Linked DNA regions of Macaca mulatta. The protein of the gene in region 2 purifies or fractionates together with the protein of the main gene of each other region. This does not show direct contact. Links are inferred from orthologs where the notes say so. Each region holds a gene or a part of one and is shown on either strand. Other genes may lie near its edges.

The links. Proteins that work in one complex are often made in the same cells at the same time.
Region 1: the proteins of RPL23 (region 2) and RPLP2 fractionate together in Homo sapiens (co-fractionation; 4 studies listed by BioGRID). This does not show direct contact. The link is inferred for Macaca mulatta from reciprocal best matches to the Homo sapiens genes RPL23 and RPLP2.

What each region holds. Positions count from the first base shown.
Region 1 is NC_133419.1:703,012-706,756, forward strand, and holds the start of RPLP2 (large ribosomal subunit protein P2), read left to right. Parts: upstream 1-1,443; 5' UTR 1,444-1,485; intron 1,486-1,679; 5' UTR 1,680-1,680; coding exon 1,681-1,803; intron 1,804-3,352; coding exon 3,353-3,401; intron 3,402-3,436; exon of another isoform or gene 3,437-3,570; intron 3,571-3,745. UniProt on the Homo sapiens protein: Plays an important role in the elongation step of protein synthesis.
Region 2 is NC_133421.1:63,145,279-63,149,023, reverse strand, and holds the start of RPL23 (large ribosomal subunit protein uL14), read left to right. Parts: upstream 1-1,408; 5' UTR 1,409-1,438; coding exon 1,439-1,451; intron 1,452-2,045; coding exon 2,046-2,129; intron 2,130-2,160; exon of another isoform or gene 2,161-2,295; intron 2,296-2,426; coding exon 2,427-2,555; intron 2,556-3,745.

The sequences.
Region 1 (3,745 bases), on a different chromosome or scaffold from region 2:
TCTACCAAAAAATTTTAGCCAGGTGTGGTGGCACAGGCCTGTGGTCTCAGCTAAGAGGCTGAGGTGGGAGGATCACCTGATCCCAGGAATTTGAGGCTGTAGTGGGCTGTGATCCAGCCACTGCAGTCCAGGCTGGGCGACAGAATGGGGCCCAGTCTCAAAAATTACAAAATTAAAAAGTCACATTGTTCGCAAGATGTTTTCCCGCCTTTATCCCAGATGTGTGACCTCGAGCAAGAAAACCTTTCTGTACCCAACCGCCTCATCTATAAAATGGGGGTAATGACACCGAGGCCACAGAAGGCGACGGTGAAGTCGAGTTCCAATGCTTGATGTATACACATCCCAGGGTTTGCACTGCTGTTTGAGCCCCACGGGAGCAGGCGCTGCCTGCTAGCACCTTAGGTACCTGCATCTGACCCCCTGTTCCTGGTGCTAGCCCCGGATATTGGCAGGGTTGGCTCCTTATCTCTCAGCTTAGACTTTCTCAGGCTGCCCAGACCAACTCGCGCTCTGTCCCTATCCCTCGGATCGCCCCCTTATTCACCTCCTGCGTCCTCGCAGAAGAACTGAAGTCCTTAGAAGGCACGGCCAACCCTGTTCCCTCCCAGGACCCGAGAATGTGGCAGGGTCCCCTGATGTGCTATGTCCACATGGACACCAAGGTCAGTTCTTGGCCGAAGCGGCCAGCGCAGGGGCTGACCGCTCGGACCTCACTCCTCCCAGGGGTGAGTGGGCGACGCTGCCTCAAGTCATTGTCCTGCCCTCCAAGGTTCGCGCTCGTCCTCTGGCAGGACGCCCTGGCCCCGCAGGACGGGGGTGGCCTCCCAGGTAGGGCTGCAGTCGCTAAGTCCGAGGCGGCTGGCTCACCTCACTGAGCCCGGCTGGACATGGGGCCACCGGTCGCCGCGGCCAGGGAACCACCAAAGAGTCAGGGCGAGCCTACCGCGAGCAGCCCCCGCTCGGGCCCACGTGCCGTTCCGCGTAGGCCGGCGGCGCAGGCCACTTCCGGCAGCGGTGCACCATGGGACTTGCAGTTCGCGGGCGAAGGTTGCGTCCGGGGCGTGGCAGCCGCGCTGCATGTTGGGCGCTGTAGGCGCCGCGTGGCATGCTGGGAGCGCTAGGTACCGAAGGCAGATGCCGTCCCTTTGGGCTCGCTTCGTCCGTCGCCACCACGAGTTTCGGGGGACCTTCGCCCCACGCTATAAGAGCAGCCACTTCCGGAACTACTGGCCTTCGCCTGTGCCGCGGAAACTGTCTTGACGGGGCCGGGGGGGAAGTGTCAATGGCTTCTCCTCCATCGTCATTGGCTGAGCGCCTCGTGACGCCATTCTGAGGCGCCTCATGCGGCGCCCCGCTCGGGTCCCGGAGGCTTCTGGGTAGCGGTTTACCCCCGCCCCTTGCATCGGCGCCTTCCTTTTCCTCCCTGACACCGCCGAAGTCGCACGCGTGAGGCCTCTCCGCCGCCGCCGCAGACGCCGCCGCGTGAGTGTGATGACCCGGCCCGGGGTGCGGGCTGGGGACGCGGGGTCCGCGGGCATGCGAGGTGGGCGGCGGGGTCTTTCCGGGACGGAGGCCTACTGGTCTAGCCACACGCGGCCTCGTCCGGCGGCCCCGGGGTGGGCAGGCCGGAGGCCACCGGGATAACACCGCCGTCGCGCCCTCTCCGCCCGCCTCAGAATGCGCTACGTCGCCTCCTACCTGCTGGCTGCCCTCGGGGGTAACTCCTCCCCCAGCGCCAAGGACATCAAGAAGATCTTGGACAGCGTGGGCATCGAGGCGGACGACGACCGACTCAACAAGGTAGCTGCCGCCCTTGCCCCGCAGCCGCCGTAGAGCGCCGTACAGGCGATTTTTCTGCCTGATCCGGCCACATGCTGGAGGGTTCGGGGAGAGGCTTGTTTCAGTCCAGTCGGCGATGTCTCGGGTAGAGAAGTAAGCAGGGTGGGGGCCAGGTGCAGTGGTTCACGCCTGTAGTCCCAGTACTTTGGGAGGACGAGGCGAGCGGATCACCTGAGGTCAGGAGTTCGAAACCAGCCTGGCAAACATGTGGAAGCCCCATCTCTACTAAAAATACAAAAATTAGCCGGGCGTGGTGGTGGGTGCCTGTAGTCCCTGCTACTTGGGAGGCTGAGGCAGGAGAATCGCTTGAACCCGGGAGATGGAGGTTGCACTGAGCCAAGATCATGCCACTGCACTGCAGACTGGGCGACAGAACGAGACCCTGTCTCAAAAGGAAAAAATAAAAAGCTGGAGGGGTACGAGGCAAAGTCGTGATTAATGAGCTTTGGAAGTTTAATACAAGTGAGATGCATAAGATTCCTTAAAAAACAAACAAAAAAGGCAGTCCTGGCGAGTGGCTCACCCAGCACTTTGGGAGGCCAAGGCGGGTGGATTATTGGAGCCTCGGAATTCAAGACTAGCCTGGAAAACATCATAAAACCTGGTCTCCAGAAAAAGTTGAAAAAAAAAAAAGTTGTAGGCAGTGGTGCACATCTGTAGTCTCAGCTACTCAGGAGGCTGAGGCGGGAGGCTCATTTGAGCCTGGGAAGTCAAGGCTGCATGGAATAGTGATGGTGCCACTGCAGTCCCACAGAGCCAAGCCCTGTCTCTAAAATACAATTAAAAAAATCAAGGCCGGGCGCGGTGGCTCAAGCCTGTAATCCCAGCACTTTGGGAGGCCGAGACGGGCGGATCACGAGGTCAGGAGATGGAGACCATCCTGGCTAACACAGTGAAACCCCGTCTCTACTAAAAAATACAAAAAATTAGCCGGGCGAGGTGGCGGGCGCCTGTAGTCCCAGCTACTTGGGAGGCTGAGGCAGGAGAATAGCGTGAACCCGGGAGGCGGAGCTTGCAGTGAGCTGAGATCCCGCCACTGCACTCCAGCCTGGGCGGCAGAGCAAGACTCCGTCTCAAAAAAAAAAAAAAAAAAAAAATCAGCCAGGTGTGTGTGCTCACACCTGTTGTCCCAGACTGAGGTGGGAGAGTCGCTTGAGCCCGGGAGGTCAAGGCTGCAGTGAGATCCCACCACTGCACTCCAGCCTGAAGTCAAAGTCAGTTTCATTGACAGCTTATTTTGCCCGTGTTGAAGATACCTGTGAGTAGTCAACATTAAGCGGTGAGACATCGTGTGTTCCCTTCTCAGTCCTAAGTCTAAGAAACCTAGTGTCCATTTATTTTTATATCACTTACCAAGCGAGGGTGGTGGCTCCCTTTGGGCAGTGCAGGTCTAGAAACTTCAGGGCGTATTCCTCTGTGGGGGACCCAGTCCTGCTGTGATTCTGGAAGGGATAGGGCCAGGGATACATTTGCACTTTCCTGGTAACAGCTGTGTGATTATCTGCTCCAGGTTATTAGTGAGCTGAATGGAAAAAACATTGAAGACGTCATTGCCCAGGGTGAGTTGATGTGGAGGGGCTTTCATTTGTTTTCATGGTCCATCCTAATCCCTGCTGGTCCGTCTGTGGCCTGCCAGGTTTCGCTTGTGGACCAGAGCACCCTAGAAGCCTCACCTGAGGAGTGAGCAGGGCTCCAGTGGGCTCATGTCATGGGCGCTTCTAGACACTCCCAGGAGTAGGGCAGCAGGGGGCACCCTGTGTTCTCAGTGGACGTTTAGGTGGCCCTGCCTCTGAAGCTTGGTGTCTGGAGAACTGAGTTCATGTCAGCAGTTCTTACCGCATGCTTTCTGTGAAGGAGCTGGGGGCAGGGACTACGGGTGCCAGGGATGTTCACAGGCTTCTTG
Region 2 (3,745 bases):
CGATCTCGGCTCCCTGCCACCTCCGCCCCCCGGGTTCCAGCGATTCTCCTGCCTCAGCCTCCCGAGTAGCTGTAGCTGGGATTACAGGCGCGTGCCACCACGCCCAGATAATTTTTGTATTTTTAGTAGAGACGGGGTTTCACTGTGTTGGCCAGGCTTGTCTCAATCTCCTGACCTCGTGATCCACCCGCCTCGGCCTCCCAAAGTGCTGGGATTACAAGCGTGAGCCACCAGGCCCGGCCACTATTTGTATTTTACACTTGATCTTGGCCAAAAGGCCAAGAAGCGATACTATTTATATTTTTATAATACTTATCCCCATCTAACATACTACATACTGCAATTATTTATTATATCTTTTGTTTAGTGTCTAATATCCTCCTCCACCTGCACCCCAGCAGAATGTAAGCTCCATAAGGACAACAATATTGATCCATTTTGTTGTCTGATGTAATCCGCTGTACGCCCTGGACAGAACCTGCTACAAAGTAGGAGCTCAGTAAGTATTTGAATGAATGCATCGTGGCACGGGAAGAACCCAGAAGAAAGGGGCGGCTGAAGCTGTGAAAGGAGCAAGTGGCCTGGCGCGGGGGCTCACGCCTGCAATCCCAGCACTTTGAGAGGCCAAGGCGGGCAGATCACTTGAGGTTAGAAATTCGAGACCAGCCTGGCCAACATGGCGAAACCCCATCTCTACTAAAAATACAAAAATTAGCCCAGCGTTGTGGTGGGCGCCTGTGGTCTCAGCTACTCTGAGGCTGAGACAGAGAACTGCTTGAACCCGGGAGACGGAGGTTGCAGCGAGCTGAGAGCGCGCCACTATACTCCAGCCTGGGCAAGAGCGAGACTCCGTCTCAAAAAAAAGAAAAAAAAAACAAAAAACAACTGTGTGTGTGTGTGTGGGGGGGGGGGCGGGTCAATAAACAGAGCAATACTGTATATGTAAAATACAGAATAGTATGGTACCAAGAACACATAGATGGAATGATCTGTAGCACTTCTCAATTGTATTACATTCAACGAAACCGTTTGGAGCTGGTTCTCCCCCCTCCCCCACTGTCTTTGTTTCTTTGGGAACCCCCACACGGCACAAACCGTGTTTTAATTCCTATTCTCTAGTGTGCAGATAAGTGCCTGGCACGTATTAAGTTGTCAAAAGAGGTCGTGAGCAAGTTAACAAATCACTGCTTCCATGTCCCTAACTACTCTTAAGCTCCTGGAGAAGAGATTTCCTATCTCTTGCGCTTCTACTTCAACGCCCACTTCAGAGAGGGCTCAAAGTAACGTCGTGAACTTAATACGCAATAAGGCAGCGCCCAGAGGCGGAAGAGGCAGAGTTTTTAGCTCCGGCCACGTGACGAAGGTGGGCGGGGCGTCAAAGTTCATATCCCAGCGTCCTTTGAATCAACTTCCTTTTTTCTTTTTTCCGGCGTTCAAGATGTCGAAGCGAGGTGAGGTTTTGCTTCTGGAGGATCCTCCACCATCTGTCGTGCAGTGGCTGGCGGATTCGTCAGGAGCGGTGGCCCTAGGCAGCTGGGGCGCTTTGCTCTCCTTCAGGCCGGAGAGGGAGAGCCAGGCCATCGCAAGAGCACTGCCAGGGCCCTCGAAAGTGGCAGTGGGGTGCTGGAGAGTTGACATAGCAGGATCCCGACATGAATATAGTCTGGATCCCGCGAGATCGCTCTGCGAATAGGGCTATCGTATTGGGGTTGAAGTTAGACTGGATTAGGCCCTGGTTTGCGCGACCTCTGCGGTCTTATGCTTTGCAGGAGCAATTGCGTTTTGCGAAAGTTGGAACAAGGGCTGAGTCGTCTAGGTTCCTTAATTTCGATGTCAGAGTGGTAATAGTGAGAAATAGGCTACTTTCCGTGAGAATCGGGTGGCACACGGGGAGGGCATAAGTAAAATCCGAGCGAGCTAATCTATAGCATACCATCTGTCAAAGTATGTGCGGTGAATTACAGTTTAAGAGTATGAGGGGGAACTGCGAACCATGTCTAGATAGTGATCTCTTTATCCTGTTTACCTTCCCTTTATATCCACAGGACGTGGTGGGTCCTCTGGTGCGAAATTCCGGATTTCGTTGGGTCTTCCGGTAGGAGCTGTGATCAATTGTGCTGACAACACAGGTGAGGTCTTTGACTGCAGGTTGCTATACTCCCCCTTTTAAAAGCACTCAATGGGCCTGTGCCTAATGACCTATTGAGCCGTCAAGAAAGGGGAGAGTGAAAACATCGCTTTTGGGTGAAGTGGCAACATGTTGTGTTGTTTGCTTCAATCGGTGGTGTGACAAGGCGTTCTTGAGGACTAACTGCTTGGGCAGTCAGTGGAGGGAGGGACTTTGGAAGTGTTTGGGAAATGTAATACTGATGGAACGGCCTGATGGGCCCTCAACATTTTTCATTTTTATTTACATTGATTTGTAGGAGCCAAAAACCTGTATATCATCTCCGTGAAGGGGATCAAGGGACGGCTGAACAGACTTCCCGCTGCTGGTGTGGGTGACATGGTGATGGCCACAGTCAAGAAAGGCAAACCAGAGCTCAGAAAAAAGGGTGAGTAAACACTGAGCCCACCTTAACACTGATAAGTAGTGGGGGGACTCTTTCCTTTATTGGAAAATGGATCAGTTTTCAAGGCCTCAAGGTTGTTTTCCATTGAGAGGCAATGTGAGATAAGTATCTTAAGTTTTTGTTCATATTATGTTGGAGGGGGGACCATCATCTTGTCATTTCCATACTTTAGATTTATTTATTTATTTATTTTTTGAGATGGGTCTCCCTCTGTCGCTCAGCCCACACTGGAGAGTGCAATGGCACGATCTTGGCTGACTGCAACCTCTGCCTCCTGGGTTCTCAAAAAAAAAAAAAAAAATTAGAAAATGAAAACGAGAAGCTGCTCATTATTTTATTTTTATTTATTTATTTTTGAGATGTAATCTCACTCTGTTGCCCAGGCTGCAGTGCAGTGGCACATATCTTTCTGTTCACTGCAACCTCCACTTCCCAGGCTCAAGTGATTGCCCTGCCTCAGCCTGCCGAGGAGCTGGGATCATAGGTGTGCGCCACCACACCCAGCTAATTGCTCATTACTTAATCTCAGGCTACCCCCTCATAAGTTTTCCTGTCAGCTGTATGATTTAAAGGGGGAGGCCTCAAAATACTTGCAGTTTGTGTCCTGTCCGGCTTTAGAACTTCTGGTATTTGATGCATTTTAACTTCAGCTCTTGCAGTTTTTTCCTGTGCCTGCCTAGTCTGTCTCTACCCTGGGATGTCTTGCTCTTCTAAAGAGTTCATGGCCATCCCTTGAGTTACAAATATGATGTTGATTTGTTAGCCATGTGTTACAGTTACTCCTATTCCTGTATCCACCCCACGATGCTCTCCAGTAGATTTTTAACCTTTGGGTTAGAAATCTTTTTTTGTTTACCATTAATAGCCACTTGAGGGCTTGGTAGCACTGTGCTTGTGATTCAGCAATTGCATGGGCTTTTTCCTCTTCTCAGAACACTTCCTGGGTCTGATTGGTGGCCCAGGGAGCTGTTAGAGAAGAGCAGAGCAAATGGCCATCACTTTGTAGATGAGATGGCAGGAGAGTGGATTGTTGGTCTCAGTCAGTGGTGGGACAGACCAGAGCTCAGAACACTTCAGTTTTAAAACGAGCTGTGAGTATCCAATTCTGTTAATGTCTTTTTTGGTCCTTGTTTCTGCTAAATGAATACATCCCCTCCCCTTGGAACTTAATA